2 linked regions of the Elephas maximus indicus genome follow. The protein of the gene in region 1 purifies or fractionates together with the protein of each later gene. This does not show direct contact. Links are inferred from orthologs where the notes say so. Each region holds a gene or a part of one and is shown in the gene's direction. Other genes may lie near its edges.

The links.
Region 2: the proteins of DBN1 (region 1) and HOMER1 purify together in Homo sapiens (co-immunoprecipitation; 3 studies listed by BioGRID and IntAct, counting the BioPlex papers as one, with this or other methods). This does not show direct contact. The link is inferred for Elephas maximus indicus from reciprocal best matches to the Homo sapiens genes DBN1 and HOMER1.

The regions. Positions count from the first base shown.
Region 1 is NC_064820.1:197,836,990-197,852,982, reverse strand, and holds the start of DBN1 (drebrin), read left to right. Parts: upstream 1-9,317; 5' UTR 9,318-9,534; coding exon 9,535-9,620; intron 9,621-14,185; coding exon 14,186-14,241; intron 14,242-14,885; coding exon 14,886-14,998; intron 14,999-15,129; coding exon 15,130-15,204; intron 15,205-15,318; coding exon 15,319-15,465; intron 15,466-15,608; coding exon 15,609-15,686; intron 15,687-15,946; coding exon 15,947-15,993. UniProt on the Homo sapiens protein: Actin cytoskeleton-organizing protein that plays a role in the formation of cell projections. Required for actin polymerization at immunological synapses (IS) and for the recruitment of the chemokine receptor CXCR4 to IS.
Region 2 is NC_064820.1:84,488,837-84,503,874, reverse strand, and holds the start of HOMER1 (homer protein homolog 1), read left to right. Parts: upstream 1-8,473; 5' UTR 8,474-10,224; coding exon 10,225-10,229; intron 10,230-15,038. UniProt on the Homo sapiens protein: Postsynaptic density scaffolding protein. Binds and cross-links cytoplasmic regions of GRM1, GRM5, ITPR1, DNM3, RYR1, RYR2, SHANK1 and SHANK3.

The DNA.
Region 1 (15,993 bases):
GAACCTAGATAAAAGTAAAAATAAGTATTAGGTGCCTACTGTGAACAGCCACCTCCTCTGTATCCTGTGAAACACAAAGCAATTACTTAAATAGTATAATCACCTGTAGGAGATGTTACAGATGGGGGAACGGAGGCTCAGAGGGGAGCGTGACCTGTCCAGAACCACCCAGCTGCAATGGCCCAGGTCAAAGACCCCAGAGCTCTCTGCTGCACCATGCAGCCCTTCTGCACCCCCCCTCCTACCCCTCCACAAAACACACACGCACACGCACACACACACAGCTGCAGGGATCACGGTGTTCCAAAACTGGGGGTGTGAGCTGTGCGGTGCAGGCAGGGGACTGGGACATACCCGGGTACCAGGAAGGGGAGGCCATTAGCGCCCTCAGAGAATTGGAAAGTGCAGTTTCCCGACCGAGGGGGCAGAGCCCATGGCAGGGGGCTAAGTGGGCAGCCAAGAGGCAGCAGGGCTTTTTCCAGCTCCAAGCGGCTGGAGCTCATTTGAAGTCAGCAGGGAGAGAGGCGGTAGAGGGCGAGGGACTGTGACGCTGGAGTACAGAGGAAAGAACTGGTGCTTCTGGCCCTGACCTCTCAGTGCTCAGCCCCACGTGGCCTTGTTACACACACCAGGTGACCGCAGTCCTGTGAGCCCCTCCGCACAGCCCTGCTACAGAGAAAGAACCGAAGTCACAGGTATAGGGCCTGGCCCCAGGTCACATAGGGATAGATGGGGCTGAGATTCAAACCTGAGCCTGTCTGAATCCAAAGCCAACCCTGAGAGTGGAGGAGGAGCTGCGGTCCCAGGGTCACTAAGCAGCTTGCTGCCTGAAAGCCTGAGGAGAAGGCGGGAGGTCTGCTGCTAGGGAGATGAGCAGGGGGTCGCTGCAGAGCCGTCCACAAGGACCCCTGGGTCAGACTGGATCTTCTGCTTAGGGCTTTGGGTGAATTGGAAACTCAGCTCAGGTTTCACCCGTGTCCCTTGCTGATTCCTACTACTTGGGGCCCCACTACTGGGGACCAGCTAGATTAAGAAGGATGCTTTCAGCTCCATTTCAAACTAGTTTAAGCAAATTAAGGGATAATTTGTCTTATTTAACTGCAAAGGTTAATGGCTTTGGCATGGCTGGGTCCAAGTACCCATGGATGTTATCAGGGGTCAATCTGTCTCTCAACACCCCTAACCTCTTGGCTCTGCTTTCCTCAGTGCTGACTTCACTCTCAGGCAGCTCCCTCCATCTTTGGCAAAGACACTCCCCGACAGCACAGACTCTCTATCCTGGCAGCTCAGCAGCCCCAGTGGACAAAGAGCACCTCTTTCTTGATGGTTCCAGCAAAAGATCCAGGGCTGGCACTCATTGGACTGTCGTGGGTCACGTGTCCATCCCTGAAGCCACCCCAGGGACTCTGACCGACCAGGCCTGGAGCTCTAGTGGGAGATCAGCCAGAAGACAGGGTGTGGATGATGGCAGCTGACTAGGGCTATCACTGCACTGGCCACATTCTGCCCTCCTTGCCCAGGAGCCCCTCCCAACTCATCCCTCAGACCCCACAATTCTAGCCTCCACAACTGCGTCTGGCACTGACCCCAGGCCAGCCCAGCCCCTGGATGTGGAAATGGTGTGCTAGAAAGGGAAGCAGGGAGATGACTGTGGTGGTTTGCTGTGATGCTGGAAGCTATGCCATTAGTATTTCGAATGCCAGCATGGTGGACATGTACTGTTCAGTGAATTACTTAATATGGTCCTTCTAGCCATAATCTTTGTGATTCCCATCAAAGACTGTGTGAGACTGTGCAAATGTTGTGCTTGTGGCCCACCAAGGGGATTGGACAGCTTGCTAATAATGTCCCATGGCACCCTTGTGGAGGTGGGACCATGCAAATAAGGTATATGGAAGCCTAATGAGAGGACTGGTCAGTTGTGCTATCCCCTAGGCTTAGAAAGAGACATGGCGGGCGGGGGGCGGATAGAGGGCTGACTGCAACACAGGAGACAGAGAGAGGCAGCAGAGGCAGCAGAACCAGGAGACCAGCAGGAGAGAGTGTGGTGGCTCCCCGGCCCATGAAGCTGAGCGCCTTCAGGTAGGAGGCTTATTGGTGGAGTAGGATGCCTCCAGGCACTTGGTGGAGCTAAGTTTGCCAGCCCATGGAGCTAGAGCTGAGCGCCTTCAGGCCAAGGCTTACTGGCAGAGTGGGATGCCTCTGGGCACTTATCGGCAGAGGCCAGACCAAAGGGCAGAGGGCCAGAGAGAAACCTGCCTGTGGCACAGCTGAGAAGAGGCTGTCCTGATGAAAGAACTGTATCCTGAGCATTCCTCAATCTGAATGGTAACTGTTACTTTGCTAATAAACCCTATAATCATGAATACTGTCAGTGAGTACTGTGTGGTCATTGCAATGAATTATTGAACCCAGCAGAGAAGTAGAGACTACCATGAGAGGGACATTTGGTGTCAGAATTGGTAAGGATGGCAGAGAGATGAGGCATATCTGACCTCCAACTCATAGCAATCAGCCTTGGGCTGTTGATCTTGATTCTCCTTCCCCCTTGTGAAATTAGAGGAAGTCAGATACCGCCACCACACCATTTTTACAACAGGTTTCAACAGAGCTTCCAGAGTAAGACAGACTAGGAAGACCCAGAAATCTACGTCCGAAAATTAGCCAATGAAAGCTCTATAGATCACAAAAGAATATTGTTCAATATAACACTGGAAGATGCGCCCCTAGGTTGGAAGGCACTTGAAGTACACAGTGGCCACAACAATTGACTTAAGCATACCAGTAATGGTGAAGATGGCGCAGGACCGGGCAACGTTTCATTCTGTTGTGTGTGGTGTTGCCATGAGTCAGAGGTGACTTGATGGCAACTAACAACACCCACAACAGATATTTGTAAAAAATATCTTTAAGCTGACCCTATGAAGTAAGTACCACCACTTTCATCCCATTTTATAGTTGATGAAGATAGGGCAAGAGAGGTCAAGCAACTAGCCTAAAGCCATACCGCTAGTGAGGTCACACTGCTAAGAGGCTTGTCAGGAGCCAAGCTAATGTGGTCAAAGTGGCTGGCCAGGTGCCAGCCGTCCAATGCATGCTGAAAAGCATAAGAACAAGGGCACACTTTTGAGGATGTTGTTTCAGGAAGCAGGTTGAGGGCGGACTGAAAAACCTTCCCTGTGAGCTGTGAGGGGGAGCTTGCATACGGAAGGCAGCGGTGGGAGGGAGGAGGGTGGATAGAGATGAGTGGAAGAAGGGGAAGCTCCCATTTTCTAAGCCTCCACCCAGTCACATTTTATCCTCACATGTTATCAATAAAGAAACTAAGGGAGGGGAAGTGGTTTTGCCAAGGTCACACAGCAAGCAACCATCTTCTATATCCAGATCTCTACATAAAGAAGGCTACCCTCTTTCCTGGCTTTTCTCTCTTCCTCCTTCAGCACGCTGGGAACCCAGAAGACACTGGATCAGCTTCTGAGTGTGGGGGGGAGCTCATGGTCTGGCAGCGGAAGGTCAATCAGTACCAGGAGAATGGTGGCTGTGAAGGCTGGATGGGAGGACTTTCAAGTGGCACCCACCACCAACACACCGAGCTTGAGTGTGTGGATTTGGAGATCACCAGTAGCTGGTTGGAAGGCACTCAAAACACCACTGGGGAAGAGCTGCCTCCTCAAAGGAGAGTCGACCTTAATGATGTAAATGGAGTCAAGCTTTCAGGACCTTCATTTTGCTGATGTGGCACAACTCAAAATGAGAAGAAACAGCAGCAAACATCCATTACTAATCAGAACCTGGAATGTACGAGGTATGAATCTAGGAAAAGTGAAAATCGTCAGAACTGAAACGGAACTCATAAACATCGATATCCTAAGGCATTAGTGAGCTCACATGGACTGCTATTGGCCATTTTTGAATTGGACAATCATACAGTCTACTACGCCAGGGATGATACCTTGAAGAGGAATGGTGTTGCATTCATCATCAAAAAGAACATTTCAAGATCTATCCTGAAGTACAACGCTGTCAGTGATAGGATAATATCCATATGCCTACAAGGAAGATGAGTTAATACTATTATTCAAATTTATGCACCAACCACTAAGGCCAAAAGATGAAGAAATAGAAGATTTTTATCAGCTGCCGCAGTCTGAAATTGATCAAACATGCAATCAGGATGCATTGATAATTACTGGTGATTGCAATGCAAAATTTGGAAACAAAGAAGGATCGGTAGTTGGAAAACAGGGCCTTGGTGATAGAAACAATGCCGGAGATTGAATGATAGAATTTAGCAAGACCAACGACTTCCTCATTGCAAATACCTTCTTTCACCAACATAAACAGCAACTCTACACATGGACCTCACCAGATGCAACACACAGGAATCAAATCGACTACATCTGTGGAAAGAGACGATGGAAAAGCTCAATATCATCAGTCAGAACAAGGCCAGGGGCTGACTGTGGAACAGACCATCAAATGTTCATTTGCAAGTTCAAGCTGAAACTGAAGAAAATCAGAGCAAGTCCATGAGAGTCAAAATATGACCTTGAGTATATCCCACCTGAATTTAGAGACCATCTCAAGAATAGACTTGACGCATTGAACACTAGTGACCAAAGACCAGATGAGCTGTGGAACGACATCAAGGACGTCATACATGAAGAAAGCAAGAGGTTATTGAAAAGACAGGAAAGAAAGACAAGACCAAAATGGATGTCAGAGGAGACTCTGAAACTTGCTCTTGAACATCGAGCAGCTAAAGCAAAAGGAAGAAATGACAAAGTAAAAGAACTGAACAGAAGATTTTAAAGGGTGGATCAAGAAGACAAAGTAAAGTAGTATAATGACATGTGCAAAGAACTGGAGATAGAAAACCAAAAGAGAAAAACACACTTGGTGTTTCTCAAGCTGAGAGAACTGAAGAAAAAATTCAAGCCTCGAGTTGCAGTGGTGAAGAATTCTATGGGGACAATATTAAATGACATAGGAAGCATCAAACGAAGATAGAAGGAATACACAGAGTCATTATACCAAAAAGAACTGGTCAATGTTCAATCATTTCAAGAGGTAGCATATGATTAGGAACCGATGGTACTGAAGGAAGAAGTCCAGGCTGAAGGCATTGGCGAAAAATAAGGCTCCAGGAATTGATGGAATATCAAGTGAGATGTTTCAACAAACGGATGCAGCAAAATGCCAAGAAATTTGGAAGACAGCTTCCTGGCCAACTGACTGGAAGAGATTCGTATTTATGCCTATTCCCAAGACAGGTTATCTAACCGAATGTGGAAATTATAGAACAATATCATTAATATCACACACAAACAAAATTTTGCTGAAGGTCATCAAAAACAGCTGCAGCAATATAGCGACAGGGAACTGCCAGAAATTCAGGCCGGTTTCAGAAGAGGACATGGAACCAGGGATATCATTGCTGATGTCAGATGGATCCTGGCTGAAAGCAGAGAATACCAGAAGGATGTTTACCTGCGTTTTATTGACTATCCAAAAGCATTCAACTGTGTGGATCATAAGAAGTTATGGATAACACTGTGAAGAATGGGAATTCCAGAACACTTAATTGTGCTCATGAGGAACCTGTACATAGATCAAGAGGCGGTTGTTCGGACAGAACGATGGGATACTGTTTGGTTTAAAGTCAGAAAGGTGTGAGTCAGTGTTGTATCCTTTCACCATACCTATTCAATCTGTATACTGAGCAAATAATCCAAGAAGCTGGACTATATGAAGAACAGGGCATCAGGATTGGAGGAAGACTCATTAACAACCTGCATTATGCAGATGACACAACCTTGCTTGCTGAAAGTGAAAAGGACTTGAGGCACTTACTGATGAAGATCAAAGACCACAGCCTTCAGTATTGATTGCACCTCAACAAAAAGAAAACAAAAATCCTCACAACTGGACCAATGAGCAACATCATGATAAAAGCAGAAAAGGTTGAAGTTGTCAAAAATTTTATTTTACTTGTATCCACGATCAACAGCCATGGAAGCAGCAGTCAAGAAATCAAAAGACCCATTGCATTGGGCAAATCTGCTGCAAAGAACCCCTTTAAAGTGTTGAAAAGCAAAGATGTTACCTTGAAGACTAAGGTGCACCTGACCCAAGCCATGGTATTTTCAATCGCATCATACGCATGTGAAAGCTCGACAATAAATAAGGAAGATCAAAGAAGAATTGACGCCTTTGAATTGTGGTGTTGGTGAAGAATATTGAATATACCATGGACTGCCAAAAGAACAAACAAATTTGTCTTGGAGGAAGTACAATCAGAATGCTCCTTAGAAGCAAGGATGGTGAGAGTACACCTTACATACTTTGGACATGTTGTCAGAAGGGATCAGTCCCTAGAGAAAGACATCATGCCTGGCAAAGTAGAAGATCAGTGGAAAAGAGGAAGACCCTCAACGAGGAGGACTGACTCAGTGGCTGCAACAATGAGCTCAACCATAACAGCCATTGTAAGGATGGCGCAGGACAGGGCAGCGTTTCATTCTGTTGTGCATAGGATCGCTATGAGTCGGAACTGACTCGATGGCACCTTACAACAACAACAACAGTAGCAGTTTCGCAGAAGAGGGAGAGCCAGTAGTGGTAACCCTGCTCCCGTCATTCAAAGAAACTGAGGGCTATGACAGGTCCACTGAATTTGGCAACTTTTGGGTCACTACTGACCCTAGCCAGTCCCTGGGTACTGCAAACGGTTAACATGCTTAGCTACTAACAGAAGGTTGGCAGTTCAAATCCACCCAGAGACCCAGAGGTGTGTCAGAAGAAGGGCCAGCCGATCTACTTCAGAAAGATCACAGCCATTGAAAACCCTATGAACCTCAGTTTTACTCTGATGCTCATGGGTTGTCATGAGTCAGAATCAACTTAATGGCAACTGATTCTTTAGTGACCTTGGCCAGAGCAGTGCCAGGGAAAACAGTACAGTTGACAAATGATAGGAGGAAGGTCATGTGCAAGGGACAAGGGCGGAAAGACCAGGAGTGGGCTCTCAGGCATGGGAGCAGGGAACTCTCTTGCTCTCCTGAAAATGGACAAGTTGATAATAGGGAAAACTGGGTGGCAACTCTCTGCACTCTCTTTGCAATTTTTCTGCAAATTTAAAACTGTTCTAAAATAAAAAGTTTATTTCAAAAAATAGATGGCAAGAGGTGAGAGTGGGTGTGGTTGAGGAGAATTTGCAGGTGGCTGGAATTTGAGGAAAGAAGTGTGCAAGTCGGCTGGCTTCTGTTTTTTTGGATGTGAAGTAGAATGAGCAGGAGGCTGGGGAGGGGCCCCAGGAGAGGGAAGTGGGAGGTGTTCTGAGCTAGGACAACTCCAAGGAAGCAGAAAGGGGCTGAGGCCAGAGGTGTCCTCTGCCTAGCCTTCCCAGATGCCCCCCTCAGCAGTGCTGTGGGGTCTTCTCCTCCCACCCCAGAATCATCCTCTTCCTGTCTAATGATGGGAGAAAGCTGAATGAAGCACATGCTTCTCCTGGCTCCTTTCTCCTTCCCTCCCCCACCCTGCATCATCCACTCCGCTGTCTCGGTGCTTCCCATTGCACCTGGTTTCCTACTGGCCAGTGGGTCTAGGGCACAGGGCCTGGGTCTGACCCTGCCTGGGCCTCATCCCCAGTGGGGGCCATGGAGAAACTGCCAGGGAGAGGGCCCCACGGACACAGTGGGCGCCAAGTGTTCTCTATACCAAAACCAAAACCCATTGCCATCCAGTCAATTCCAACTCATAGCAACTCTAACGGACAGAGTAGAACTGCCCTACAGGGCTTCCAGTGGCTGGTGGACTCAAACTGCCGACCTCTGGTTAGCAGCTGAGCTCTTAACCACCGTGCTACCAGGGTTCCGTTCTCTACACAAGGGTCTGTAAAATGTTTTGAGTTTTAAGAGTTCCTCCTACTCCCAAGCAGTAGGAACCACTGCTGGAGAAAAACACACACACTGTTCTCCCTCTCGGTGCTGGTGACATGGCCGATTACCTAACTCTGAGGCCCAGCTGGTGCCACCTCCTCCTCCACCTCCCAGATTGGACCAGTCCCATGTCTTTGCTCTCCTCTTAGCTCTGGGGCAAGTAAGGTTTGCTTGGGTCTGTCACTGTCCCCTAGAAAGATGGGGTTGGGAGGTTTTGCAGGTGGTGGGAAAGGATTCTGACAGCTGTGAAGAGTTCTAAGGGTCTCCTAGCAAGGACAGAGATGTACCAAGAGGCCCTGGCAGTGGTGGCCACGCCCCTGCAGGGGACCTCTCTGGGGCCTCAGCCTCTTCCATGCTCAGAGCTTTGGGAAATTAAGGTGCCAGGAGGCTGGCCCTGGTGTGTCCTTGGAGGAGCCCTGCCCTGGGAGTCTGAGTTAGATGCTGCTTCTTGAACTCAATTTGGGATTCCTTTGGGAGGCCTGAGGCTTGGGAGATAAAGCAAAGGATTTCCTAGGCTGGTGCCATCTGAAGAGGCACAGGAGGCAGCCAGTAAGGAAGAGAGAGCTCAGGACAGGGGTGGATGTGAATGGAGGAAGAGGCTGGGGATGGTGGGGGTAATGAGCTGAGGTTGGGGCTGGGAATGGCCTGAGAGAACATGGTCCCACAGGCATGGAGGGGTGTGGGTGGGAACTGGGTTCAGGATGGGACTAGGGTAGGTTGGAGAGAGAAGGGTGCAGCTGGATATGGGGTGTGGTGAATGGAGAGGTGGGGGTATGCCAAGCAAGGGATTGAAAATGGGCTGGAGCTAAGACAGAAATGGGATTGGAATGCAGGTAGCAGTGGACAGTGATGGGGATGGATTAGGCATGGACTTTTCAGAGGTGGTGATGGGCTGGAGACCAGCAGGAGTGGAGCAGGTATATGAACTAGGTTGGAGTTGAGATTTGAGACGGAAATTGTTTAAAATGGGCTGGGATGGACCAGGGATGGGGTGAGGTTGGGATAACCTATGAAGCACAGGAATAGGGTGGGGCTGGGACCGGACTGGAATGAAGTGGATTTGGGAGTGGGACTAGAAATTGGAGTTGGGGCTGGATGGGGGTTGGAGAGTGGAATCTTGATTAGATGCTGGGGCTGCGGGACTGGGTTTGGGGAGCAGGGTAAGCACCCAGGTTGGGGATAGGGTAGAGGAGGGTTCTGAACGAGGAAGGGCGCAACTGGGAACCCGAGGGGCAAGTTAGACTACTGGGGCTGCGCGCGCCGCCGCCCGCCTGGTTGAAGCGACCCGGCACCGCCCGCGGTGAGGGGCGTGGGGGCGCCCGGGGCAGGCCGGGAAGGGGGGGCGGGCCTCCCCCTGGGCGGGCCGGGGCGGCGCTAGGACCGAGTGAGCGGAGGGAGCCTAGCCGGGCGGAGCCAGCGCCCCCCGCCCCCCGCCGGCCGGTTCCCCTCCCCCGGCCACTGGTTCGCTCGGCTTGCAACGCTGCAGAGGCTCCTAGGCGGCAGCGGCGGCGGCTACTCCCTCTTTCCCTCCCTCCCTCTCTGTCCGTCCATCCGTCTGTGCGTCTGTCCGTTCGGCCTAGGTCCGGCCCGCAGCATGGCCGGCGTCAGCTTCAGCGGCCACCGCCTAGAGCTGCTGGCCGCGTACGAGGAGGTGATTCGGGAGGAAAGCGCGGCCGACTGGTGAGCCCCCCGCCCCCGCCCCCCGGCCCCTTTGTCCCCGCGCCGCCGCCGCCGCCGCGCCTTTGTTCCCAGCCGGCCCGCCGCCGACAGCCGGGAAGGGAGGGGGAGACCCCGAAATGGTGCATCGGACCGGGAGGGCCAGGGAGGGGCTGCCTTTGTGCGCGCCGGGGGGAGGGGCCGGGCGGGCCGGGCGGGCCAGGCGGGGCACTGCTGGGCCCCGAGCGCCCCGAGTGGCCCCAGGCAGGCGGTGGGAGCGGTGACCGGACACGGGCCGGATGCACGCAGGGTCCAGATGTGTGGCCCGGGGCCGCATGGCCCTACGGGAGCCCATCCCCAGTCCCTACCCTCCCCCCGGACCCGGGGGACAGGTGTGCGCGGGGCGGCCAAGGGCACCTTCTCCACCTTGGAGCTGGCGGGGACGGGGCGGGGACCAAGGTAGCGGAGTCAGCGCAGCCTGCCCGGCCCAGCTTGCCCGGCCGCAGCACAAAGGAAAGCTCGGGCGGGGGAGGAGCGGAGCGGGCCGGGGGCTGGGGCGCCCCGCCCACCGGGGGCCGCTTGTCGTTGCCCGCCCCCGCCCTCCCCTCCACTCTGGGCTGGGAGGTGATGGAAGGGCGTTCTTTGCCACATGGCAAGCTCGAAGTGACTCCTTTTCCCCTCCCGGGTCACGGAGGAGGCAAGAGTGAGCCGTCGTCTCCCCCGACCTGGACGGGATTGCAGGGACAAGGCAGCTGAGCTGGGGGACGCCAAGGGGACAGGAACTGCCTGTCTATGGGGCCAGCTGGGGTACCTGGGAGAAAGCCTTCAGGCGCAAATGTACGGAGGTGGGCCCCTTTCACTTGGTCCCGTTAGTTAGACCATTTGCCCACGGCAGCTAGGGGCACTCCTCTCCCAGTGGGGGAGGGTCTGGGCTGCTGCTCTCCCCCTCCCCCAGCTGTTATCGTGCCCCTGAGCCGGGGGAGGGGATGGACCACCAGCTCTGGGGCTGGAGTCCCCAGAGTGGCCAAAAAGCCAAGGGATTCCACACTTCCCCATCCAGGAAACAGCCCCCCAGAATACTCTTCCTGGGGCAGGTGCCCATTCTGTTCCCTGCCTCTCTTCATGCTGTCAGGCAGAAGACAGCTTCCTCTCCCCAAGGAAACTGAGGAACAGAGTGAGCACAGGCCTGAGTGGCCCCACTTGGGCTGGCCTCACCCTCAAGATGAGAGGGCAGCCAGATAGGGCCACTGACCTGGGGGGCTGGAGGAGGGGACGAAATGGCCAGGCGTCGATGCCACAGCATTGCAGCACTGGCGGGCGGCCAGGCCTGGAGGAATGGACGAGGGAGACAAGCTCTGTGTCCTGCAGGTCAGCCACAGGAGAGGCTAAGCAGACAGGAGGCCCACCCATTGTCCCAGCCTGCCCCTGGGGGCTGAGGTCATGGGAGGAGTTCAGGGCAAGGGGCCTGCTTGGCCTGGTGGAAGAGCTGGCCCTAAGTTGTGGGCCCTGCCTGTTAATCCCTGCCTGGGAAGTGACACAGCCCACTTCAGAGCACCCCTCATGCCATCCAGTCTGGGGAACCTTGTCTACCACCACCCACCCCATTTTCCCCTAACCCCCAGAAGCAGAGCTCCAACAGCCCTGCGCGGGGACCACACAACCACTGCTGCCCCACATCCTGCTCAGCAGAGGCCTGCCTGGCTCCCACCACCCAGCAACACCCATATGGCCACAGTGATTTATTCATCATTGGCGTGCATCACCCCCCATCTGGGCTGTGTGTGGGACACACACACACAGATGCACACACCCTTCCTCACATATACACACGTGTGTTCAGTCCCAAGGGCCTAGCTAACATTTTGAAAAAAAGTGTGAGGGCTGTATCCTGGGGAGAGGGGGAGCAGGGCAGGAGTGTGTCCCTCTCCCACTTCGTGCTCAACCACAAGCCAAGGGTCAGTGGTCTCAAGACTCAGGGCAGACCTGATCTCAGAGGCCAGGAAAGAGATGTCTTCAGTAAAACTGTTGCCTGCCGAAGGGGATTGACACTGCCCTCCCTCACCTGGCTTCATGGGGCAAGGCTTCTGAAATGGACCACTGAGCCCTGACGTAGGAACAGGGGCCAGGGAGATCAGATCATGTGGGAAAGGCCAGTGTTGTCATGACTGTATACAAGTCCCTGCCCCCTCTGATTCTCTGTGCACCTGTGAAATCGAAGGAAGGGATTGGGCTCAACCATATCTGGGAAACCTAAGGCCTTTCTAGCTCAGACATTCTGCGTGTGTGACTAGACTCAGCCCTCCAGTCCCAGCTGACCTCAGGATTGCCCTGGACCTGCTCACTCCAGCTCACTCCTCACCCTAGTCCAGGTTCTCTGGCCTAGGTGGTTTCTAAGAGTTTGTGTCAATATCACAGATACCTACCGGTGCTGCTCTGTGCTGGGCCCTGGGACCCAGAGCTGTATGTGTTGATTCATAGAGTTACAGGTTCTGCCCCCATGAAGATTACCATCTGGGCAGTGTCTCCAGGGTCCAGAGCTGGTGAAACGTGTAGATTCTGATTCCCTGTGGGGTTCACCAGCTCCCACCCCCCAGGATGGATGTGTCTTATGCAATTGTGGGGTCTGGGATGGGTTCAGATGCCTCTAAATCCCTGGTGGGGTCTGGGAAGTACTCTGGAGAGGCTGACAGAGCAAGGCTTCCTGGGGAGCTGCCATGGCCCCCCCCCGAAGGGTTTCCACAGTGGCGGTGGGGGTTCAGAACCAGGTCTGGCCTTCCATGTGAAGGGCACTCCAAATGCAAAGACTGGGGGTGGGAGATATGAGGGTGCCACCCAATGTGACCCAAGTGTGTAGTATGTACAGGAGGCCAGGGAAGGGGTTGAATTTAGGTGTGGATTCAGACAGGGGAGGGATGTGGCTGTAGCAGAAAAGGTGTGTGAATGGGCGAGGGGGGCTTGGAAGGGGTTGAGGATTTAGGGGCCTGGGGCAGGGCACGCCTTCCTGGGAGGAGCAGGGGCCATCAGCCTTGGAGAGGTCCGGATACCACCTCCCAAGGAAGTATGATGCTTAGAGCAGCGTTTGGGAGCCAGGATCCTCCGGTTCTGCCTCAGTTTCTCATCTGTGGGTTGGAAAGGGGCAGACTCTGCTTTCTGAGGGCCCTTTGTTCCCAGTGGTGGGTCAGGGCAGAGGACAGGTGGTGGGACAGCTGTGCGGGAAAGCAGCTGCCAGGACTCGGTGAGGGCAACAGTTGGACAAGGAACTCAGCCCCACAGCCCACCTGTGTCCCTCTTGGGAGGGAGGGACCTGGGAAGGGGAGGGGTTGGGGGGCCATTTGGCCCTGGCAGCAACCTGTGCTGATCTCATGGGACAGATTCTCCCTCCTTCCTCCCTTTCCTCTTCACTTCCTTGTCATACTTCTTCCCTTTCACTTGTTTTATTCTCTCTTCTTCCTTTCTGCCTGTGTCTCCCTCCCCTCTCCCCTCCCCTCCTCTTGTCCATCTCCCTGGAGCTCCTGCCTCACCCCCACCCCCATCTCCTGCTGCAGCATTGGGGAAATGGTAGCGTGGGGAAGGGTCCAGCCCTTCTGAACTGCAGAAACAAAGCCATTCCTTCTTCTCGCCCCAGGCCTCTCCTCCCACTGTGAGCAGATGGGAGGCACCTCTGCATTCCCTTCAGTGAAATGGATGCTGTGCCCCAGCCACCTGGGGAGAACAAGCCAGGGCAGAAAAAGCTTGGGAGGAGGAGGGTGGGGCATGAATGCTGGCTCAGCTTTGTGGCTAAGCTAGGGCGGAAAGGCTGGCAGTCCCAGGAGGCCAGGGCCTTGGCTAGGGTGGAGGCAGCCTCAGGGTTGGAAGGCTGGGAGAGCGCAGCCATCCCAGGGCCAGAGTCTGGGCAAGAGTGACAGAGGTGACCTCATCCCCATTTCTGAGAGGAGGAGTTGGAGGCTGAGGGCTGGTCCCTGGGGTCCTTTGTGTTCAAGGAGAATGCACTCGGGTGGGCCGCTAGTGTGCCAATTGCCGAGTTGCCATGGTTACTGGGGGATGCCCAGAGCTGTTAGAGCACCAGGTTCTGTCCTCCCCCTCCTTCCTTGCAGGGGGGGCGGGTACCAAGGCACGTGCCAGGTAGGCTCCTAGTGTTGGCCAATGGGGGCTGAGGAGCTCGGTAGTCAGGGAACAGTAACCAAGGTAACCAAGGAACAGTAGCCTTGGAAGCTCCATTGCACACCACTCTGCTCTGTGGAAGGCAGCTGGAGCCAGGGCCCGGACGCACTGGATTGGAGGCGCTGACCTCAAGCAGGCGGTGGCAGCGATTTCTGCCCCATCCCCTACTCCCCACCTGACCTAGGCCCTAAGCCTCCCTCCACTGGGCTCACAGTCCACCCCCTGCTGGGCTCCGTCAGAACCGTCAGAACCGTCAGAACCCGGTGCCCAGCCCTATTGTCATGATGATGCTGCCCCAGCTGGTCTGGAACCAGCTCCTGGCCTGGCCCCTCCACTTTCCTCCGCTTACCCCTCCCCAGAGCCATCTCCACCCAAAATTGGCAACTGGGGCTCTGAAAGTTCTTCCAGCCGCCCCTCCCTCTCCCCAGGGCTCTGTACACATATGAGGATGGCTCCGATGACCTCAAGCTTGCAGCGTCAGGAGGTAAGAATTCCAGCCATTCCTTTGCCTTTCTTTCCGCCCCCTCCTCCACTTATTTTCTTCCCCACCCGCCTGGCTCTGGGCCGCCCTCCTGCCTGCATCTGACAGCCCCACACTTATCTGGCAGTGTCCTTCTTCCAGTCATCCCTGTTATCCCCATTGGGTGGGGAGGGAGGGAGCCTTGTTTTCCCTATTGAGTGACTGAGGAGGAGACCAGAGCACTTTCAGAGAGAAAAAGAGACTTGCCCAAAGCCACACAGTTAGAAGGAAAGGGCCTAGGAGGCATGGGCAGCCCCACTCACCATTTCACACCAAGGCTTCTTTCACACTGTTGGGGTTGGGCACCAGCACCTCAGATACATGATGTGTGAGGAGGGAATGATGCGAGAAAAGGGCTAGAGCAAGCAAACACTTCTTAGTCCTACGCCAGATCAGCTCCAGAAGGTTCAAAGACAAAGCTAGACCCTGCCTGCCATCCCCTCACTCCTACAAAACTATGGGGCTTCCACGGCTTAGAAGCCAGAAAGCCCCTGGGGGGGAGGCCGCTGAGCCTGGGAGAATTCTCTCCTGTGGGGTTCAGGCCCTTCACGGAGGAGGGGGTATGGGTTTAGGAAACAGGAGTCCTGACACCCTCCTGACTCCCCCAGAAGGGGGCTTGCAGGAGCTCTCGGGGCACTTCGAGAACCAGAAGGTGATGTATGGCTTCTGCAGCGTCAAGGACTCCCAGGCTGCTCTGCCAAAATACGTGCTCATCAACTGGGTATGCAGCTGTAGGCTGGGGAGGGGCACCCACTGACTCTGGGAGAGACTCCCTCCGGCCCTGGGGAGGATGGCCTGGGGGCTTCACCTGCTGCCCCGTCTCCCGACCCCTCTTCACTGGGTATCTTGCAGGTCGGCGAAGACGTGCCTGATGCCCGAAAGTGCGCTTGTGCCAGCCATGTGGCTAAAGTGGCTGAGTTCTTCCAGGTGTGCGTGGAGCCAGGCCCCATGGGGACAGGGACAGCCACCCAGGGCGGGGTCGGTATGCTGGGGTGGTAACGGGGGCCACAGTGCTGCCTGAACGCTGCCTTCTTGCCAAAGGGCGTCGACGTAATCGTGAATGCCAGCAGTGTGGAAGACATAGATGCAGGCGCCATCGGGCAGCGGCTCTCCAACGGTCTGGCGCGGCTCTCCAGCCCAGTGCTACACCGTCTGCGGCTGCGGGAAGATGAGAACACTGAGCCTGTGGTCAGTGTGGGCCTGCTCTGGCTGGCCCTGCCCTGGGCCCCTGTGTCTGGCCCTCCCTTGTTCCCCATAGTGCCCTTATTTATGGGGGTTCCCAAAGCACCAGCCTGCTCTCTGTGCTTATGCCCTGTAACTTGACTCTACAGGGCACCACCTATCAGAAGACAGACGCAGCTGTGGAAATGAAGCGAATTAACCGTGAGCAGTTCTGGGAGCAGGCCAAGGTGTGGACCCCAACCCTGGCCTTCAGGCTGAGCTGCCCTTCCCTGACCCCCTGGAACCTGTCACCCAGCTCCTCGTTTTAGCAGTGTGCTCCAGACCACATACTCCTCTGTCTCAAAGAGAGAAAGCCTTTTGGCTTTGTTGCATAGGACCCATCCCCAGAATTCTCAGAACTGGTACCTCCCTAGTCATGGGTTTGGGATGGGATGCAGGGCCGGGCTCCCCAGCTCAGGCCTGCACTTCCTTGGTGTGGGGGTTGCAGAAGGAGGAGGAGCTGAGGAAGGAGGAGGAGAGGAAGAAGGCCCTGGA
Region 2 (15,038 bases), about 110 Mb from region 1:
ACAGGTAGCTTCTAAATGACAGACCTGGGATTCAAACTCAGGCAGGACGGCCCTAGAGCCCACACTTAACCACTCCCCCACATGCCTCTAGAAAGTGTAAAGAAAGGCATCAAGAAGAAAGCCAAAGTCCTCTGATTCTATGACCCAGTGGCAACAACTGTAACCATTCTGGTAAACATACTTCCAGACTGTTTTGATATACCGTATTTTTTTCCCAGTGCACCAACACATACAACACATGCATAGCTTGCTTATGAAAATAGCGAGGGGGGGTTGCACAGTTGGCAAAACATATAACATGCATTATTTGCGTAAAAATACAGTGTATGTATATGGCTACCTTGAGGTATGTATAACTTGACACAAAGTGGAATAATACCATACATACTGTCCTGCTACCTGCTTTAGCCACTTTCCACACCAATGCATGTGGGCCGATCCCTTCATTTCTAAAAGCTATACACTATTGCATTACAAAAGATTCCTTAATCACTTAAACAGTCTGCTGCTAAGGAGGATTTACATTTCTAATGTCTCACTGTCATAAATAGCACCATGATGAACGTTCTTATAGATTCACATTTGTACTCTTCAGTGGTTTCTCAGTTTTTCATTATCTTTCCCATTGCCTTGGTCCTTTACCTATATGGACAGTACTTATAAAATAAATAAATAATGTCAATATTTTGTCCAAAACCATTTTCAGCTAATAAATATGTAATTATTCTTTCTATATAAAAAACTAAAAGAAATCATATTTCCATATATAAGAAAACAAATGATCTATTTGTGAATCTTTCCTACTCTATAACTAGTTATATTTCTGAGAAGTATGTAATTATTCATATGCTGCAAAGCCATGGCTATCTTTTAAAAAATACTCTGCATTGAATTTGAAGTATGATGTACTGATCACTCTTGGTGAGAAGAGAATGAGAGATAGGAAGCCACCTGGGAGAAAACAAGGAAAGGGGAGAGTTATAAATAGAACAAAACGTGCAAAGAAACTCTTTTGAGGAATCTGTGCATGTGCTGCCTGCAATAGCATCTTTTACGAAACTGCCCTCCCTTCATCGTACCTGACTTCGTATCTTGGTTTCTGTCCAGTGATTGAATAAGACACTTCATCACTGGTATAAACTCTTAACTTTAATATTAGTCATTATGACCATGGCTGTACTAGCTACCTATTGATGTGAAACAAATTACCACAAACTTAGCAGTTTAAAACAACACACACTTACTATCTCACAGTGTCTGTGCATAGCTTAGCTGAGTCCTTTGCTCAGGGACTCACAAGGCTGCAGTCAAGCTATCATCTATGCCACATTCTCATCTCAAGGCTTGACTAGGGAAGAATCTCCTTTCAAGACCATAGACTTTAGAAGCGCAGTCGCTCTTGAGTCAATTCCAACTCATGGCGACCCTGTGTGTGCCAGAGTAGAACTATGCTCCATAGGGTTTTCAAGGGCTGATTTTTCAGAAATACATTGCTAGGCCTTTCTTCTGAGGCAGCTCAGGGTAGGCTCAAACCTTCAACCTTTAATTTAGCAGCCGAGTGTGTTAACCATTTCCCAGCATCCCCCTCTACTAAATCCATTTGTTCTAAACCAGCTAGAGCAGATTCTGTTGTTTGTTCTCAATAACTTGTTAAGAATCTTAACTAATCAAGTAACTTCTACCCAAGGATAACTGAAAGTCCTAGCAGTTAATTTATTCAATAAACATTTTGAGCAACCACTATGTAAGAAATAACATCTAACATTTGTAGATGGAACAGTGAACAAGACAAAGTTTCTCTTCATGGAGCTTATATTCTACAAGTGATCCAACAAACATATAATGTTGTTTTAGATAGTGTTGACTATACTATGAAGAAAATAAAGCAGATTAAGTGGAGGGTGAGTGACTATGAGTGTGGAGATAGTTCATAAAGAATGTCCAGGAGACCTCTCTAAAGTGATATAATTGGAGCATAGAACTGAATGAAGAGTGAGCTATGCAAAAATCTTGGTAATATGTGTTTCAGGTAAAAGGAATGAAGAAGGCAAAGGCCCTGCATTTAGAACAAGCTTGGCATATTTGAAGAGCAGCAGCAATATCAGAGTGGCTTTGTGCAGTATACCCAACAGCCATTGCTCCTTCTTGCTGAGAGAGTTCTAAATTTGTTCGGTCACAATGTGCAGACACAAGGGATGAACCATCATTTGCCAATCATGAACATCCTGTTCCAAACTGTCAGTAATTGATTTAGGATGGGCATGTGACCCAGTCTAGCCAATGAGTCATGGGGGGTGGGGCTTCTAGGGGCCTCTTGGAAGCTTTTCTCCCTGGTAAGAGAGAGGCAAAGAAGCCCTGGTGGCACAGTGGTTAAGTGCTCAGCTGCTAACTGAAAGATTGGCAGTTTGAACCCATCACCCACTCCAAGGGAGAAAGATGTGGCAGTCTGCTTCTGTAAAGATTTACAGCCATGGAAACAGTGGGGCAGTTCTACTCTGTCCTGTAGGGTCCTTTTGAGTCAGAATTGACTCGACCACAATGGGTGAGAGAGAGGCATGAAGAAGAAAATTCTGTAATCTCCTTCCCCCCTTCCTGTTTAGTATGCTATTTGTGAGGAGATGATACCTGGAAATGCAATAGTCTTCTAACAACAATGAGACAAGAAGCCAAGTGTAAGAGACAACACATGAAGACGGCAAAATAAAAAAGATGGAAAGATCCTGGACCCTGATGACACCCTGAACCTTCTAAACCAACCACAGGACCACCTACCTTCAGACTTCTTGTTAAATATAGAGAGTTGATAACACAGGAACACATAGAGTAGCAGCTGATGGGGGAAATGGTAGCTGAGATAAGAGGGGGGGTAGGAGCCAGATCGAGGAGTGCCTCTTGGACTAAGAAATAGAGTTTGGATTTTATTCTAAGTGTGAGAGATTTTAGCAGATGACACAACACTCACACAAACACATACGTACACACATTTTAGGAAAAAAGAATTCATTATTAAAATAGCAAAATAGATATTGATTAAAGATATATTTGCCATTTCTGTTCTAATTTGTAGAGAAATTATTGTTTAGAATTAGATTAAAAGAAACCAAAAAGCCTAATCAGTAACTTATGAAGTATCTTGGCTAAAAAAACTGCAAATGTTGAGCATCAAATCTCTGAGCTCTTACGCTTGGGGGAACCTTTAACACATGATCTAGGTATTTATCATTTCTTGCTGCTTTAGCCATGTCAGAGTCTTTATCAGTTATGTTCAGCTTCAGAGAGTTTGCAATTGCCATCTTAAACCCCCACCTCTTTTTAAAATAGTGCCAAATTTCTGCTTTACTCTTATTTCTTTGAAAAAACAGGCAACTTCCCTTCATAAGAGCGGCTGTCCTAAATACCTTGGGTGTTGTTTTTCTCCTAGCTGGCACCAAAAGAATCACAAAATAAGGTAACAGCTCATTTAAAATATTTTCCTCATGGTTGCTCTGTTCCCCCTTTCAGGAAAAAGATTATTGGTTACCATAGCAATCAGCTTCTACAGCATTCCATTCTAAGTAACTGCACAGGTACAGCTCAAGCTTTACTACAGTCTTTACTGTAGCTGTCTGCAGAGCTGCATATTTTTACACCATGTTTTCTGTAACTGCTGTTTGAAACAACCAACCAACCAATCAAAAACACAATCGAAAAACCTGGAGTTAAACGAGATAATTTTTTCAAAGACATCAATATCCCTGTCTCTTCTGAATGTCTTAAAATTTACATACGTAATTATACAATGAGTTCCTCACAGTGCCTAATGAAAAACTCTCTGGTATGTTCTTTCACTGGCTTGTATTATATTTTTATCTTTTTGCTAGTATTTGGAAAACAAAGAATGAATTTACAGTAAAAATCAGAGTAGGAGATAGTTCTGTGAGATCATTTCCCATGGGCTCAATATCATATATTTCCTGACGATAATTCTCTAACTTCTCTCTCCTTCCTAAAAAGTTACTGTAGAGTCTGTAACACAATGTGATGCGTCAGAGTAGAACTGAGCTCCACAGGGTTTTCGATGGCTGATTTTCTGGAAGTAGATCACCAAACCTTCCTTCCAAGGTATCTGTGGGTGGGCTTGAACCCCTAAACTTTGTGTTAGCAGTGCAGCATATTAACTGTTGGTACCACCCTATCATGCCCAAATTCCTGTGACAAAATAATGCATATATACCTATATTAGATAAAATTCACTTACTCAGAGAGATAAAACTTGTCCTCAAGCAATTGCCTTGGAGATGCCAAACACTTACTGTTATGGATTGACTTGTATCCCCCCAAAAATACGTATAAATTTGGCTAGGCCATGAGTCACAGTATTGTGCGGTTGTCAACCATTTTGTGATCTGATGTGATTATCATATGTGCTGTAAATCCCAATCGCTATGATATTAATGAGGCAGGATTAAAAGCAGTTATGTTATTGGGGCAAGACTCCTCAATCTACAGGATCAGGTTATATCTTGAGCCAATACATTTTGAGATATAAAAGAGAGAAGCAAGCAGAGAGGAGAGGGACCTCATGCCACCAAGAATGACGTGCTGGGAGCACAGCGTGTCCTTTGGACCTGGAGCCCCTGTGCTGAGAAGCTGCTAGATCAGGGAACGATTGATGACAAAGACCTTCTCCCAAAACTGACAGAAAGAGAAAGCCTTCCCCTGGAGTTAGTGCCCTGAATTCAGACTTCTAGCCTCCTAGACTGTGAGAGAATATACTTCTGTGTGTTAAAGCCATCCACTTGTCTTATTTCCATTATAGCAGCACTAGACAATTAAGACACTTACCTTTCCACTCTTTAGACTATTAACTAACCTGTTTCTGTTCAGAACATTACTGATAATAACAAAAGATGTTTTTTATAAATAGGCCAAACATAACTTAATGGCACCCAATATCTGCTACAGTGTGGAAGAGGTGGAATGATTTGAGAGAGTTAACTTGATAAATTCTGATTCCCTACAGCTCTTTCATTCTTTTCTCATCACGTTTAGTATTTGCTGGTTATTTTGTTCCTTCAGAACTACGTGGCATTAACTAGAAATCTTGAGGTTTCTATTGTATGGAGCGGTATCCTTTTACTTATTACTTTGTTTGAAGCAATACTGGTGTTTTGGCTATTAAAAAGAGACAACTTGAAAGGAAGTTGCTATTATCTAATTTAATGTTAAGCAATTAAAAATAAAATTCGACTTTTACCCTCTTTTCTGCCAAGTTTTTCTATGTTCTAGATGTCTTTTCATTGAAAAAGACATATCTCATGACCAAGCTATGAACACCCATTGAAGACTGCCATCTCCTATTAAGGGCATGGAAGTAAACTCTGTAACTAAAACAGATGCCTTCGCCCACAGATTCTAAAATCAGAGGGTATTCATAAACCTCTCTACAAATTTTCGGAATGTAAGTGGGAAACAGGAAGTGTTAAAAATTTGAAACTCTGCTAAAGCACTTTTTGCTCTTCCGGTAAAAGAAAATACATTACTTTCTAGGAAGCTCACTACTTTAATAAACATACAAAGAAATCAGAGTTGGAAATTCATGTCTGGGATTTGGGTTATGTCAGCTCATTTTAGGAGAAAAGATAATACTTTTAGATGGAAAGTTATAGAATGGTTCTCTGACTCCTCTCAAAATTATATTGGATTTATTTCAAGAGGGGAAAATAGGACCTCACTTCCCTTATTTTTTTCCTGAGCTTCCATATTACATAAAATATTTCAAAGTTTTTACTTGTTATCTTGGATACATGGACATATATACTCCCTTATATACTCATCCCACATAAACAAGAAACAAAAACTGATTGATTATCTGGAGAATTTTCTCAATAAGAGCAGAGGCCAAAGTTAAATAATTATATCACAGTGCACCATTAGATTTATGTTTTAAAAAAAGGTACTCTCAGTTTTCAGTCAACAAAAGAGCAGCTGAGAAGGGACCATGCAGCTTTGAAAAGTGGAAATTCTATTGAAAGGTCAGCATTCTAAAGGCAAGGGGGCAGCTGACATGCTGTTTTGACAGCTGGGTAAAAATTAAGAGGAAAAAGTTTGTAAAACACAGGAAGTTGCGATCAAAGGGTAGAATGAAGTGTTTGAAAAATGGTAACGTGAGAACTTTAACATGAAGGGAAAGAGCAGGAAAGAGGGATAAGTGATTCAGTTCTGAGAAAAAATAGTTTGTAGAGAAAATTTAGTAGAGTAAAAAATTAATTTCTATTTTAATTTGCAGAGGCCAAGAGATGACATTATTTGAAGAATGATGGTCTTATTTTTTTAATATTTTATATGTAAGTAGGAAGATCCATTTGTCTGAAATATGTTAGTACAAGTTTCTATTAACACGTTCATATGTATTAGACGAATTGGCAAGTACGGATTTGCTTCTGATTAACTTTTTTTTTTATAACCTTTTAAAAATGTTTCTATTCACTACTTTTAACATTTCAAACTTGAAGCAAATTCTGAAATCAGGGAGGGATCATGATTTCATAATGTGAAGATGATCAGAAAGCCTGATTTAGTTACAAATTGGTATTAATCTTTTTTTTTTTTTTGCCAGTGTTCTTTAATCTTGGGTTCCTAATTTGATTAAGAATATTTACATGCAGAAAGCTGCAAAACCAATGTTACTTAATTAGGAATTGTGTGAGTAGCTTAACATTAAAAACATGTCCCCCCCCCCCACAGGGTATAAATTCTATAGAGTTTTAGGTTCTCTTGTTTAAGCTACATTGATTTATAACTCTCTTTTAACAATCACTTGAGCCCTGGTGGCACAGGGGTTAAAAGGTCCGCTGCTAACCAAAAGGTTGGAAGTTGGAATCCACCAGCTGCTCCTTGGATACTATATGGGGCAGTTCTACTCTGTCCTATAGGGTCCCTATGAGTCAAATCAGTAGAAAATGACATAAGAATCACACCAAAGTGGTGAGATATGGAAATCTCGCAAATATATTAAAGTCAGAATTTAATCATCTGCATAAACCAAACCAAACCCCGAAGGCAACGGGTTAACAATCACTGTATAGGTTGGTAATCCTATGTCCTGGATTTTCCAGGTCACTTCGGATTTCAAGTATTTCATTTATTGTCATATGATGTGTCCTGATTTTGGTTTGAAATACATGGTCACTCAATTTAGAGACTAACTCTGAAATAGTAATATCCTTTGACAGTAGGTAGCAATTCTTTTTCCGGCCCATGACTATCAAGTTAAATCAAATTAAACAAAAATTCGTTATATATTTGAGTCTTAATAGGTAGAAGTTGTAAAAGCTTTATAGTAATTTATAGTTTTAAAAGCATTTGTAATATAGACAGAAACATAGCTAATAAGCCTATACGCGGGTATTCACCCTTGCCATGAATAGAAGTGAAAAACATACTTAGGAAATATTTTAACTATGTATTATATGGTAAAAACTAAGGAAGACAAAAATAATCAAAATGTGCTCGTGTTAACAAAAAAGGATTTAGTGGTCTTATTTTAATTTCCACAAACTGGAACTCACGTTGTTGGTACACCGGAAGTGAGAATATACTGGCGTTTGCTATAAGAGCCCTGGTGGCCCAATGGTTGAACGTTGGGCTGCTAACCAAAAGGTCCGCAGTTCTAATCCACCAGCTATTCCTTGGAAACCCTATAGGGCAGTTCTACTGTGTCCTACAGGATTGCTTTGAGTAAGAATCGACTTGATAGCAACGGGTGATTCGGTTGCTATGATAATTATCTGAATGAACTTTCTAAGATTGAAACATTATCCTATGCCAAAACATTGTTTTTTTGCAAATGAAAACATATCATTTTATGTCCTTTCCCCTTTACTATCATTTATAGCATTGCTGTATAACCTTTGTTCATGGCCCGGCTCTTTATTCTTCTGTACTTAATCACTAAAGAGGGGAAAAGAGAAGTTTTAACGTCTACAATTTATAGATTGGTATTTAATAAGTCTTTCGAAAATTACGGTGAATTTTCCCAAGTCTTGGAAGTATATCTACCACTAGTGTTCAGGTTCTCCCTCCCACATTTCCCAGCTAGTTGGGACGTGAAAAGCTCGGGGATGCTGCTGCAACAGGGGTGGGAGTGGGAGATAGGATATCACCCCCCGCCCCCTGACACTTCGGAACTGTTGCTATGAATGATTCACTTCATTTGGCACATTTGTTGCGAGGAAATCTCCTCCAGCCGCTTCCTTCTAGGAGCTCCTCTCGGGCTGTCTCCTGTACTTTGGCCTTTAAGGAGAAGCTAGAACAGGTGGGCACAGAAGAGCTCGCCGAGTCCTCCTCCCCTGCTCCTTCCCTAATTTAGCAATGCTTCCGGCCGCGTGACATCATCCCCCGCACTCTGGTGACGTGAGCGGCGGGTGACGTGTGTGCGGAGAGGAGCGCGCTGACGTTGCTATTTAAAGGTCCTCCTGCGGGGAGGATGGAGACACAGCGCGAGCATCTGGTGTGGGGAGCGGCGGAGGCTGTGGCGGCCGGGAGCGGGGCCAGGAGCCAGCGGAGGAGGAGAGCGCACGGCCCGCCCGCCGCCGGCCGCTAGGGGAGGGGGGAAAGAAAGGAAGGACGGACTGACGGACCTGCTGACTGGCTGGCCTAGCTCCCCACGAGGGCTGGCTCGGCCCCTGACCACCAGCCTCTCCTCCCCCTCGCGGCTGTCTCCCCCTCCCGCACCCCGCAGGGCCCCTCGGGGCCCAAGGGACAGATCTGCGCCCCAGCTCCCGGCTCCCGGCCGCGCCTCCGCGGTGGCGGCCGCCTCCCGCCCCTCCTGCGAGCAGGGGGAGGGGCCACTATCACCCGCCCCCATTCTCCCCGCCCCCTCCTCCGCCCCCCGCAGCTCGCTCCGCCGCCGCGCTAGCCTCTTGCGGGCTGTGCTGACCGGGGAAGGGGTGCCCTCCGCTCTGCAAGCCGGCGGGCGAAGGCGGAGGCACCGGCGGGCTTCAGGCCGCTCGGTCCGGCGGGGTCCTGCCGAGCGGGAGCTGGAAGCCGGCGGAGGCGGGTGGTGAAGGAGGTGTGAGGAGGCGGCAGCAGGGCTCCGGGAATGTGAGGCGGCGCGTGGCGGCAGTGCGCAGCCAGAGAGGCGAGGAGCAGGGGTGAGGGCGCTGGAGCAGCGGCTCTCCCGCGGCTCGGAGCCCTGGTCCCCGGTCCCTGACGCGGCATTAGCGCCCGTCGACCCTTCAGCCCCCTCCTCCGCCGCCGCTCGGCCCGCCCCGGAGCTGGGGGCAGGGTGCCGTTGGAAGCGTGGAGCCTGGCTCTCTGATTCATTCATTCCTTGCCGACGGGAGCCTGAGACCCGCTGCGCTCTGAAGGGAGGGGGAAGAGGGCAGCGGCGAATGAAGGGCCGGGCGCGAGGCGGGCTCCATTGTGCTCGGCGGCGGGGGGCGGGCAGGGGCTGAGGGAGGTGGGATCGGGTCCCCTCCCCCTGCTCCCCGGCGTGCGCTGCGCCCCCAGCCTTCTGCCAGTAGAGATATGGCTCCGTTTATTCTCCTCGGGAGAGTGAATCGATCCTGCCCAGTCTTCTCTTCCTTCTCCCTACCTCCTCTCTGCTCCGAGTCTTGAGGGGAAAATTAAAAAGACAGATTCCAATGTGGAGTGCCGTGCACGTCGCGAGCTGTCGGGTTTGCACTTCGAGGAGATTTTTCTATATATTTTTTTCTAATGTGAGCGTAGGGAAGCATTGGCATTACTGCTTTTCGGATGTTTATTTTCAGGTAGGGATCTTTTAAGTGCACGTCGCGGTGGGTTGACGCTCCACCCCCAGGGACTTGGTGTGGAGAAATTTGAACCCGTAGCACCGAAAAGGCCGAGTTACCTAGCTCTTCGTGAGTGTCAAGGAGGACATGAGCGAAAAGACCAGCGAACTCAGTTTTTATAGGACTCGGTGAAGCTGGATCCCGCGTTTTCCTACAGACTCATTTTGTGGAATAGAGTTGACCGTTGTCTTCTCCGCGCAGCATTTTAACTCTAATAAGCAAATGCCACCTCAGTTTATTTGAACGATTTCTTACTTACGAGGGAGAAAGCATTTTACTTAAGGAAACAAATTGTCAGCATCATTAAAATACCTCCGGAAAAGGACTTCGGGGGGTGGAAAAGCAACGGCGAAATAGCAAACGGAGAAATTCCTTTGGAAGTTATTCCGTATAAGAGCAGAAACTTCAGAGCAAGTTTTCACTGGGCAAAATGGGGTAAGGATTTTTGTGCTTAACACAACTTCAAATCTGTTTATGTATGTGTGTTATTGTCTGTGTTTTGTGTTTTCGAACAAATTTGCCACCTTGCTAAGCTGGCTACACCTTCAAAATATAGGTGTGTTAACCTATTAACAATTTATTTTGTGCGTTCTTTTAGAGTGACACAGGGAGGTCATAGTTAAGGAACGGCGCGTATAACGTTAGTAACCGGAATATAGTTTTATCAGTAATATTTAAGAAGGCAACGCATTCTCCACAAACTGCTGCATGAGTTTGTAATCAAAATCGTGTCTGAGGTTTTGTTGCTGGTCGATGTCTTTCAAAAAGAAGTACTGCATTCTCTCAGTACTTTGAGAATAATCAGTTGCACAAAGGGAACGATTGTATTGTAAACTAAATAGCAGTTAGACGACAGTCCTTGAAAATGATCCAGTGTAAATTATTGCCCTCAATGTGCCCTCTGTTTTGCCCTTGAATATAAGCTAAAAATATATATGTATATATATAAGCTAGAACTGATTTATTGGGGGGATTTAAATGAAAATTTGAAAGTCTACTGAAGCTGTCTCCAGAGTGCGGTGCAGTCAGTAGGAAATAAGAACTTGAATAAGAAAAAGTCTTTTGTCGAAGGAACTTGTTCACTTCTTCTGTTTTTTACTTCTAAGCTCAGGTTTTCCGTTTGTGTTAACAATGTCAGATCTACCTTTCTGTCAGATCCAAATCCAATCAGGAGTGCATTTTCCAACCTTTTATTAAGTTCGTTCACACGAGTAGCTTGATAAAATGCTAGTGACTTCCTAATTTAAGCTGGAAACTCATATTAATGGAATGATCTACTTGTTTTATTGACAGATTGTTGATGCTTTCCCTCAGAGAGGAACTTCCAGAATTTTCTCTGCCTCCCTCCCTCCCTCCCTCTCTCTCTGTGTGTGTGTGTGGTTGAGGGGCAGATTTTGAAAGGATGGACTCACATTTCTTTGTGATAGTTTAGGGGAGTGTACACACACTTCTTGAGACTTTTGAAAGGAAGTTTTGGGTAGTACTACCTTTTTGTTGGAGTTAAAATGTGAAGTTAATTAATTTGAACAACTTTCATAGCTTGGGTATTGTAGGAGCTCTTCCTCAGGAATTAATGGAAAACGGTGATAACTGTTCTTAAAAAATTACAAGTGGTGAGAATGTATGTAATTCCCATGATTTGGGAGCAATTAAAATATCTCATTCTGTTTCTAGCATTGCTATTAGTAGGCTAGTGCTCTGAGGCAAATATTTAACTTCTGTGGACTGTCTTCTTATCTGCAAAGTGAAGAACTTATGTGAGATGGGTTTGAAAGACTTTTCCAACTATAAAAATGAATTGTTTTCTTTTTTCTCCTTACATTTTAATGATCACTAGTTGGCTTCTTAAAGTAGATCTTTCAGGTGGAGATGTTATTTTCTGTAAAGAGTTTTTAAGCACCTTAACAAGCTGGAAAATAATGCATTTGAAAAATGTTTTAGATTAACTCCACTAATTTTAAAGGAGGGATTCTGAAAAATACTGTTATTTAAAGCCTTTGAAATATGGCTTCTTTTGAGAACCTGCAGTTCTTCTGGTTAAAATATGTTGGAGCAAAAAAATCAAGTGGCAGTTTTTCACGTTGAAGACTGCATTCTCTAGATTGTGAGCGGTAGCATCTTGGAAGAAAATCAGTTTTCCACAACCTTAAAAAAAAAAATTTTTTTTTTTAAGCCTCATGAATGCCTATCATTTTACCAAGAAGGCTTGAGATGAACTTAAATACTGAGGGGACTAGGATTTAAAATATAAAAATAAGCCTCCCCGTGCCCAGCACACACGTAACACACATTTAGATACTTCAGCATAATTAAATTTGCTGATAAACTAGTTTATTTGCCTTTTGTTAATAAAGTCTTAAAGGTGGACTGAGGTGGAAAGGGAGCGAGTGTTTGTGGCGTTATTTTTCAGAAAGTCCGTTATAGGGGCTATGACCCTTTTCATTGATAGTGACGTGTACCGTCTTGAATTAATGAGCGGAAGTGTAGGTGGAAGTGGACTAGAAGAGCACAAGGAGAAGGCATTTGTGCAAGTTTCCAAACTTGATAGATGTTTATACCTAATAAATGTTTGTGGAGTAAGCGTAGCTGCCAGCACCTATGTAAAACAAGAGGAAACAGAGCTATAAATGACCTTTAAACTTTTACCCACGCAATCCTAAAACTTTATTCTGACACGTGTCTGAAATTTAATATTGTGAGTGAAGAGTGTCACATATAATGAATGCATTTTTGGCTGATGCTAGCTCATAGTAAAAATTATTTCTTTGCCTTAATTATGAATGTAATTTTAAGGGCAAAGTCTAAGCAAAAGAGGTTACGTTCAAGAAAATGAGTGATTAGGTGGGAAGAAAATCTGTGGCTCCTGAACAGTAATTTATGAACTCTGGTGGAACTGAAAAGAACAGCTGAAACTGACAGTTGGCAGAGTCTGTCAAAGTATCTTGGATGCTGCATGAACTGTTTTTAATTGCAGTGAAGACAGCTGAAGTATCCGTTTGTAAAGTTGTGTCAGACAATAAAAAATTAGGGCATTCACGTATGTAAGATGAAGTCTATGGAAAACTCAGTGAGAAGGTCCCCTCCCTTTGGTTTGCCACCCCCCCCCCCAAGTAGCATCTCACAATAAGAGCAGTGAGTCACTACCTATTTCAGAGCTGTCAGACGAGTCAACAGAAATCAAGTAACTTCAGTTATTTCATGCTACCTTTGGAATATTTTGTTTATTTATTTATTTTTTTGGAAACCCTAGTGGCATAGTGGTTAAGTGCTACGGCTGCTAACCAAAGGGTCAGCAGTTCGGATCCTCCAGGCGCTCCTTGAAAACTATGGGGGCAGTTCTACTCTGTCCTACAGGGTCGCTATGAGTTGGAATTGACTCGACGGCACTGGGTTTGGTTTTTGAATTGTTGCTTAGATCATATTGGCAACTAAGTGCCAACAACAAAGGACTAAAGCTCCCCCTACCCAATTAAAGCTAGTTATATAGGGTCGCTATGAGTTGGAATCTATTGGATGGCAATGGGTTTGGTTTTTTTTGGTTTATATGTAGGGTCGCTATGAGTCGGAATCGATTGGATGGCAGTGGGTTTTTTTTTTTTTTTTGGTTTATATATAAAATGAGGGTCCTTCCTGCTAATGAAGTTGGCTGGTGCAGTTTCTGATTTATCTCACCTACCTGTGGGAGCCTCTGGAATCTTGCCTCTCCCCTTCCCCAGATAACTTGTGGAGGCATGGAAGTGGGTGCTGCAGCATTGCAACTGAACTGAGTCCCTTCTTTGCTGAAGGACAGGAAGCTGACACGTCTTTGTGCCTCAGGCTGCCAGGTGCTGCTGTCTGGGGATTGTAGCAACAATGCTGAAATCTTAGTCCAGCACTGCAAATATGAATGAGCTTTGTTATAAAGGCAACCATAGTATCATCCCTAAGGGCAGAGAAATTAGATGGAACTCATTAGTTTTATATTTGTTCACTTTACAAACTTTTGAACCTTTATTATGTGGCCTGTACTGAGCTCAGTGCTGCTGACTAGTAAAATGTACTCTTTTCTCTCAAGAAGTTTATAGTTCTGAGTGGGGAAGACAGTCAAGCTTTAAAATAAAAGGTACAGTGAAATGTCAAAGGGTCTATAAGGTAAGGCACCATTAAGGCACTGTGTGTGTGTGTGTGTTTGTGTGTATTAGCTTGAGGGAAGGATGGAAAAGGGTTTGTGGTGGAGGTGACAAGTGTTAGATATTGAAAAATGAGTAAGATGGGCCTCATGGACAAATGAGAGGGCATTCAAGACAAAGGAAATAGTATGACTGAAAGCACTAAGACAAGAAACTGCAAAAACATTTGGCAAGACAGGCTTATCTTGCTTGGGGTCCTTGGGGGGATAGCAAGAGATAGAGCCAGAGCCTTAGGCAGGGGCCAAGTTTAGGTAGCCTTGTAGACCAGACCCTGGTGGTACAGTGGTTGAGAGCTGCATCTGCTAACCATGCTAACCAAGAGGTCGGCAGCTCAAATCCACCAGCCGTTCCCTGGAAACCCTATGGAGGCAGTTCTACTCTGCCCTGTGGGGCCCATATGAGTCAATTGATTTGACCACAGTGGGTTTGGTTTTGGTTTTGGTAGACCAAACAAAAGACTTTGTATTATCCTGTGTTGTTGTATGCTTTGGAGTCAATTTAGACTCATAGTGACCCGATAAAACAGAGTAGAACTGTTCCATAGGGTGTACTAGGCTGTCATCTTTATGGGAGCAGATTGCCAGGTCTTTACTCCCGAGGAGCAGCTGATGGCTTTGAACTGCAGCCTCAGTTAGCAAATACTTAATCATTCCTGTAGGCAAGTGTATTTTAAACTTTTTTGGCCACGAGTCATTAGTAAGATAAACATTTTTACATCATGGTCTTGTGTACTGGTGTATAAATGACAAAATTTCAGAGAATAATTTTACTTTGTGTGATGCACTCTGCTATTTTCTATATTATTTTTAAGGAAGAACGATGGTTGTGACCCACTGAGTTGATTTAACTACCCAGTGGTAGCAACTGGTGGCTTGGGGAACCATTACAGGGGTTTTTTCGAGGTTAAGATTTATTTGTGGTTGCTTTCTTGGAAACCCTGTGGTGTAGTGGTTAAGTGCTACAGCTGCTAACCAAAAGGTCAGTAGTCGAATCCACCAGGCACTCCTTGGAAACTCTATGGTGTGGTTCTATTCTGTTATATAGGGTCATTATGAGTCAGAATCGACTCGATGGC